Linked DNA regions of Sus scrofa. The protein of the gene in region 1 interacts with the protein of each later gene in a pairwise test. Links are inferred from orthologs where the notes say so. Each region holds a gene or a part of one and is shown in the gene's direction. Other genes may lie near its edges. The genes, in order: LGALS8 and APEH.

Region 1 (3,806 bases):
GAGGTTCAAGCTTCTGAAAGCTTGAAATGAGAGCTATTTCCTAGCAAGTAGCCTTTGAAGAACAAATGTAAATGCTAGGGGTGCCTGCTTGAAAGGACCCTGCTCCTGTGGCAGACCCTAGCCTTTGGTTCACTTCTTAACCCTTTCAAGTTCTCACCCAGATCTGTAGCCTTAAACATGGATTTAAAGTTTTGCATGTTTTTAGTTTGCAAATAATATGTCAGTGGTATGCTGACTCAGACTCCTACGTGTTGCCTTCCTCAGCATTCCTGGATCCCTGTGTACATGTCTTGTGTAGTCAGTTTCATTCTGATTAAGAATGCAGAAACCCCACTCCTCCCTTCTACTTGGCTAATTGATTTTTTTTTTAATTCTCTCAAAAAGCTTTAATGTTGACCTGCTATCAGGAAAATCCAAGGATATTGCTCTTCACTTGAACCCACGCTTGAATGTTAAAGCATTTGTAAGAAATTCTTTTCTTCAGGAGTCCTGGGGAGAAGAAGAGAGAAATATTACCTGTTTCCCATTTAGTCCTGGGATGTACTTTGAGGTAAGCTGTTCTTCTTTGAAAATGGGACAGGAAAATGAATCGTCAGGGCAGGGGTAGGGTAGGTGAGTCCTTTAAATCAGGTCCAACTTAGTATGCGGAGACTGCGGGTGGTTTTTGTTCATTTGGAGATGGTATTTTGAATGCCCTCTTTCATCAGCATTAAATGGCCGAGCCAGTAGAGAGTCACATTTATTTACATGGGAATTATTTGTTTTTCATAACATTTTTGTGTAGCCCCCATATTAGTTACTAAGAATTTTCACAGGGACTGTGTCTCAGGACTGGAGTAACATGTTTAATCCTAAGTGAACATGAGGACGCAGGAACCACAGGCTGTCCACACTGCCTGCCACCTCCCATCTCGGTGACACAGCTTAGGAGGCAGTACTTTTGTCCAGGTGGTCCTGTTTGTATACATTCAAAGAAAGATACATTTAGACCACTGGAACTTGAAGGCATGTAGTTCTGAGCCTCCACATCTGTGAACATTATGATAACACAGCATTTCCCCAAGGAGGGCATTTCTGGGCTGTGGTCAGTCTCCTTGATGTGTGGCTGCTGGGTGGTTGGCTAGGTGCCCTCACGAGCTTAGGTGACTCCCTGTCTCCCATGGTCATTTAGGGTGGTTGAGGTAGGTCATGCTTTACATTTTAAAACTGTCACATGCTCCGGACCATTTGAGTTCTCAAGAACTCAGCTGTTCAAAGCATGAACAGCAGGGTGGAATGGCAGATGGCGATGTGATGCTGGCATTTACTCCTGAGTTCCAGTGCGGTGCAGCCCTGGTCCGTGCAGTGACAGACGGCTCTGTGCCTTGGAAGCTGTGAGTTTGGATTCAGGAGGATGTGGAAGGTTGATGGCAGAGTTGCATTCACTGGACTGAGGAGATTTCTGGGACAGGTCACTGGAGGTGGGGAGGGCAGGCAGCACAGTGGCCCACTGACGGAGCAGGGGTCAGGTTGTGGAGGGTGACCTGCGGTCACGGGAGGCAGAGGAGTGGATGCCCCAGAAGGAAGTTGATCCTTTGGTCAGTGACAAAAAAAACCAGTAACTTGTTTTTTGACCTGAGCCCCAAGTTTGGAATTACTGTATTAAAAGAGGACAGGAATAAATTCTAGAATCATCTTTCCCTTTTGTTAGTTTCCTATTTCAACAACAGTAATTATACTCACGCTGGATCATTGTCATTTTTTTGTAGTGATGTATTATTTTTCCAAGTAGCTTCAAACTCCTGCCTTTTTAATAGGCTTTCATTGAGATTCTCAGATCTTTTTACTTTGATTTTACAGTATCGTCTGTTCCTTGGCATTTCAGCCACTTATTAGTTCTAGCTGTAATCATTTAAAATCTTTCAGTTTTGTAATTTCACCTGTGAGCTTTTTATCATGTTCATGTTGGCATGAGCTGTGCAGATGATGGTGAGGGACTAAGTTCCACGTCCCCTTCGGTCAGGGGTCTCTCAGTCTACCAGGCCAGCGCCTTCACGTTTCTGTTTGTCAGGCGCTGGCTCCGCACTTGCTCTGCTGAGTGTGGATAACTGACTCTTTGCCACTGTGTCCACCTAATGCCAGCTTGTCTTCCCTTCAGAGCATGAGGCTGTGTCCAGTGTCCATCACCAAAGGTCCCTCCCAGCTGGCTGAAGCTGGGATGATTCCCACCGCTGTGGTGGGCCTATCACCCTGTGATGGATTCTCTCCCAGTTCTCCATGTAGCCCTAGAGCCTTTAACTTGTGTCAGCTGTCACTGTTATCCATGGAATGTCCTCCTCTTCCTGAGCCCTCCCCAGCGGCCAGCCCCACCAGTCCTGTCAAAAGAGAAGAGACACTTGCTTTGCTACTTCACAGATTCAGATTTTGTGCCTCAGCCTGGCCTCTGGGGAGGGGGCCAGGTTGGAGGAGGCAGTGCTCCCCCGACCCCACTCCGTGGAAGCCACAGTGGAGGTGGGGAGCAGTCATGCCCACCCACTGGCCTTTCCACTGAGGGTGGAAACAGGTGGCACCTTGGTGGCCAGACTGGAAGTTTGAGGTTTAGGTGTACGAGTGATGGAAGAGGAAGCGGTTTCTTCTGTGAACTGACATCAGTGATGAACCTCGGCCAGCAGGCTAGCAGGCTAGCTGCCCATGGATTTTTACAGCGCTGGGCTTTGAAGAGCTTTTGAGAAAGAGACAAGATGTGCTGAGCCGGGTGGGAGGCCGTGGTACAGTCCCTGGCAGATGCCTGCAAGTTTGGAAGCTTCGTATTGTCTGAGCGCCCGAGGCCCTAGAGTTTGAGGCCACAAAGTCTGGACCCAGGTCCCCTGGTTCTCAGCCTTTCAGTGGGAACGAGCTCCCCTGTGAATGAGAATCACGATGCTGGCCACTTTCTCATCTATGGAGTTCCCAAATGTCGCTGAGGGGGGCAACTCTCTACTTTCCCAGGAGCAGGGGGCAGGAGAGGGTGCAGAAAGGTCAGCAGGCCCTGGGGACAGTGTGAGGTTCCATGCCTGTAAGAGTCACTTCCCTGAGTGGGACAAGGCAGCAATTAACCAGATACACTTTGGGTCAGGTTAGGGTCTGAGAGCTCTCGGCAGGGAAGTTTGCAGGATTAGGCTGTGAGTCAAGCAAATGGTCTTACCCCTCTATTTGTGTGCAGGAAACAAAAACCTTGAAACCCAGGGCAAACACTAATGTGTGTATTATGCTTCCTTGCAGATGATAATTTATTGTGATGTTAGAGAGTTCAAGGTTGCAATAAATGGTGTACATAGCCTGGAGTACAAACACAGATTCAGAGAGCTCAGTAATATTGACACGCTGGAGATCGATGGCGACATCCACTTACTGGAAGTAAGAAACTGGTAGCTGGCACGACTGCTGCTAAAACTGAAATACAGAATGACTTCGTAACACTGGCCTTGTTACAGTGCATCTCACTACCACCACACGGCTTCTGTATATTGTTAGAACAAGCTTGCAAAATCATAACCGAGTCCTCCCGGTATCCTCAGTCCTCACCATGCAGTGTGGCTCTGTCTAGTGCAGAATGAGGAAATGGGAAGCAACAGCTTACAGTCATTATTATAACAGGCCTTTCTGCTCTTCCCCCCCCCCCCCCCCCCGCCACCCTGGCCTCTCTTTAAACCCACTTCACATTCAAGTATTTACTAAGTGCCTCCTGTGACACAGCAGCCGCCCTGCATTGAGCACTAATCTTTCACCAGCTGGGGACAGACAGCGGTGCATGAAACCTCTCTGTTTTGTTCCGTTGAGCTCAGAAC
Region 2 (3,906 bases), on another chromosome or scaffold:
GGCTCCAGAGGGCTGCACCGTGAATTTACAGCCAGTCTACTGCACATGTTCTCAAGGACAGGCACCGTGTTCCCAGTTTTCCTGTTATAAACAACAACTGTAATGAACATCCTAATTTCCAACTTTCCACCCAGGTTGGTGGCTGGGGCAACTCTATCTGCTCCCAGTTCTGGCCTTAACAGTCCTGCACACACTGGATGCTCACAAATGCAGGTGGCCCCAGAAAGTGGAAACTGTTTTTACTTAACTAGCCCGACGTGGTTGATGGGGAAGGGGAAGCTGCAGGCCAATCTCAGTCAAAAGCAAAGCAGGGCGCAGGGAGCCAGGCCCCTGAGGTGTGGAAGACCATCCAGGTGCAAGGTATATGGAAGAGGGGACATCGCTGCTGGCCTGACAGCTGGCCAGCCTCTCCTGCCCTCTTGAGCCATCATAAGCCCAGCCCAGTACTGCTGTCCTGAGGGAACCTGCCTGTCCAGGTTTTTCTTTCCACAGGAAGTGCTCTGGTTCTGGGTGGAGCCTGACCCCACCAGGCCCTTTGCACTCAAGAGCTTGGCCTGAGGCCTGGGAAGGCAGACAGAGGCCCACCAGTTCATGATCCCCAGCAAAGTGCCACTGAGCGGGTGGGTGAGGGCTGCAGGAGCAGATAGCTTAAGAGGTAGGCGCGGTGGCTGATAAAACCAGGCAACACCCTGCGAATTTGGCACCCGCCTTTCGTTGCCCAACACCCTAGAACTCTGCGAGCTATGTCAGGAGCGCACCTCTGTCCTTTCTCATTGGCCTGGGAGCCCCTCCAGAGCAGGGCCTGGCACCTCCTGGTGAATGTCTGCCTTCTAATGGACCAGGAGGACCCAACAGTCAGTTCCTGGCTGCGGGAGATCCCTGCTGGAGATAGCTTCGATCTGGCTTCAGCTCAGGCCCCATTCCTCACCTCTCCTTTTCTGGACTTCACCCGGGCTAGGCTCAGCCCCGCCCGGCCGCACCGCCTCTCTGCAGAGCCTTCGGTCCTCCGCCGCCCTCTCAGTCCCCGCCCCCCGAATGCTTAGGGCTCACCCCCGTCAGGCCTCACCCCCCACCTCCCTTGGGCCCTGTCTTTCCTCACAGACCTCGCCCCTCCCCAAAGATATGCGCCTTTATTCCGTTTCCACAGCACCATCCCCTCTCCTCACCAAGTAACTGGCCGGGGCTTGGCCCACACAGCCCGCCTCTCACCAGCCTGGCCTGCCGGGAAAGGACCGCTCCTTTCCCCAAGGTTCCCGCCCCTCCCATCCAGGACTCCTGCAGCCGCGGTTCCCACTTCTGCCCCACAGGCCCCACCTCCTTACCATCTAGGCCCCGCCCCTCGGGTAACGGTTCCGGCCCATTCGTAGAAGGTTCCGCCCCTCTCAAGGCAAGGTCCGGGTGGCAGGGCTGGGCCGCTGCGGGCTCCGCCCCCTGAGCTCACTTCCGGGCGCCAGCACTGACTGCCTAGCCCCGGCGCCCCAGAGCAACCATGGAGCGGCAGGTGAGGGATCGGCCCGCGGTTCCTGTGGTCTTTGCAACCCGGGCTGTGCCTGACCCTGCTGTGTCCCCTGCGCAGGTGCTGCTGAGCGAGCCCGAAGAGGCGGCGGCGCTGTACCGGGGCCTTAGCCGCCAGCCCGCGCTGAGCGCCGCCTGCCTGGGCCCAGAGGTCACCACGCAGTACGGGGGTCGCTACCGGACTGTGCACACTGGTGTGTGTATGGCGGGGAATCGGTGGCGGGCCTATTCCGGGGCCGTGCACTCGGGTGGAGAGGAGGGGGATGTGCAGGGCTCGCTGCCTGACAGTGCTCACGAGTTTGTGGAAGACCGGGCTTGGAGGGTGTGGGTGTGGAAGGGTGCATCCCCCAGCCGTGCACACAGGTGTATAGGGGGTGTTCTGGAATGTTGCCCATGAGTGCAGAGTGTGGGTCTTGTAGGGGTCACCCACCCCCATCATCCCATACTGTACCCCCCCTCAAGGTCCTAGGGCGGATGCCAGGAGCGGTAGTGGTTTCTCTCCAAGATGTCAGCTCAGGCTCCGGTGACCTAAACTTGAGTTGTAGCCAAGTGTTGCCCATCCTGCCCCCAGAATATCTGGAGTCAGATTGGGGAGGTGGGCTGGACCTTCCTCTGGGCGGGGTAGGGGAGCCTGTGCTGGGACTGGCCAAATTGAGCAGTCTCATGCCTCTCCTCGCAGAGTGGACCCAGAGGGACCTGGAACGCATGGAGAACATCCGATTCTGCCGCCAGTACCTGGTGTTCCATGATGGGGACTCAGTGGTGTTTGCAGGGCCTGCAGGCAACAGTGTGGAGACCCGGGGGGAGTAAGTTTGAGGAAGGAAGCTTGTGGGCAAGGCCACAGCCATCTGCAAGCCTTTTATGAATACCCACCGTGTGCCTTGGTGTGGGGAGGGCCCAGAAAGGAAGCCAGGAGCTTGTTTTTTGCCACTAGGAGCTCTAGAGACATGGTCATAAGCACTGGAGACTTGCTTCTGACGGGCCAGGACCGGAGCCCCTGCTCCAGGGAGGGGAGGCAAGGCATCTGCCATGGTAGGACTAGAAGGGCTGCAGGGACGCATGTGGGCCACAGCCTCAAGAATCTTGTCTAAGAGGTTACAGCCAGTAAGGGGATAGGATGGGCTATCACTGGGTGGGAGGTAGTCCTGATGCGTTATCCTGTGTCCTCCTCAGGCTGCTGAGCAGAGAGTCTCCTTCAGGCACCATGAAAGCCGTGCTGCGCAAGGCTGGAGGCACGGGCACTGCGGAGGAGAAGCAGTTTTTGGAGGTAAGTCTGTGTGGGACCGGGTGGTAGGCAGCTGGGGGCTCAGATCCACAGATAAAGCTCTGCTGGAGGACAGACAACCTGACTCCCAGCTGTCCTCAGGTCTGGGAGAAGAACCGGAAGCTCAAGAGCTTCAACCTGTCAGCGCTGGAGAAACATGGGCCGGTTTATGAGGACGGTGAGGCAGCTGGCTGGTGAGCAGGCAGGGTAGACAGGAGGGGCAGCCATAGCCCAGGGCTCCCCCTGATCTGCCTTTCTTGCACCCAGACTGCTTTGGCTGCTTGTCCTGGTCGCACTCGGAGACACACTTATTATATGTGGCAGAGAAGAAGCGCCCCAAGGCTGAGTCGTTCTTTCAGACCAAAGCCCTGGACGTCACTGGCAGCGATGATGAGATGGCCAGGACAAAGAAGCCAGACCAGGCCATTAAGGTGCTCATGGTCATGGCCAGTCCATGAAGGTTCTTCAGGGCAGCCCTGGGGCCCAGTATGTTCTCCACCTACACTGTGCCTATCAGAACTGGGGAGGCACTGTCTCGTAGGGGACAGGGCAGGCTCGTGCGAGACAGGCTAGGCCCTGAGTGTCTTGTGTTCTCAGGGGGATCAGTTTTTGTTTTACGAAGATTGGGGAGAAAACATGGTTTCCAAAAGTACTCCTGTGCTCTGCGTGCTGGATATTGAGAGCGGCAACATCTCTGTGCTTGAGGGGGTTCCTGAGAGTGTGTCCCCTGGACAGGTCAGTGGCGACTCAGCCTACGTCATTCCTGGAGTCTGAGGGTCCTGCCTGAGTTACTCCCCTGGTTTACCCCTGCCCCCGGTCTTGTTTACAGGCATTCTGGGCCCCTGGAGACACAGGTGTGGTGTTCGTGGGCTGGTGGCATGAGCCCTTCCGGCTGGGCATTCGCTTCTGTACCAATCGAAGGTGAGGACAATGGAAGGGGCAGGGCAGGGGGCTTTGCAGCTCAGACTGTCCATGAAGCTGAGTGTCTCTCTGGTGGTTCCAGGTCAGCCCTGTACTATGTAGACCTCACTGGGGGGAAGTGTGGTAAGTGGCACCTACCTCTGCTTTCCTCTGAGACACACTGGCCTTGGCAGCCTGCATGGTACTCACGTTTCTGTCTGGTCCAG

What was found.
Region 2: the proteins of LGALS8 (region 1) and APEH interact in binary tests that used the Homo sapiens proteins (3 or more experiments, as listed by UniProt). The two-hybrid records come from large-scale screens. The link is inferred for Sus scrofa from reciprocal best matches to the Homo sapiens genes LGALS8 and APEH.

What each region holds. Positions count from the first base shown.
Region 1 is NC_010456.5:54,871,269-54,875,074, reverse strand, and holds part of LGALS8 (galectin-8), read left to right. Parts: intron 1-384; coding exon 385-550; intron 551-3,240; coding exon 3,241-3,375; coding exon of another isoform or gene 3,376-3,390; exon of another isoform or gene 3,391-3,806.
Region 2 is NC_010455.5:32,204,387-32,208,292, forward strand, and holds the start of APEH (acylamino-acid-releasing enzyme), read left to right. Parts: upstream 1-1,476; 5' UTR 1,477-1,489; coding exon of another isoform or gene 1,490-1,501; intron 1,502-1,576; coding exon of another isoform or gene 1,577-1,709; intron 1,710-2,194; coding exon of another isoform or gene 2,195-2,321; intron 2,322-2,688; coding exon of another isoform or gene 2,689-2,719; coding exon 2,720-2,782; intron 2,783-2,881; coding exon 2,882-2,957; intron 2,958-3,046; coding exon 3,047-3,210; intron 3,211-3,376; coding exon 3,377-3,514; intron 3,515-3,608; coding exon 3,609-3,700; intron 3,701-3,782; coding exon 3,783-3,823; intron 3,824-3,906. UniProt on the Homo sapiens protein: This enzyme catalyzes the hydrolysis of the N-terminal peptide bond of an N-acetylated peptide to generate an N-acetylated amino acid and a peptide with a free N-terminus. It preferentially cleaves off Ac-Ala, Ac-Met and Ac-Ser.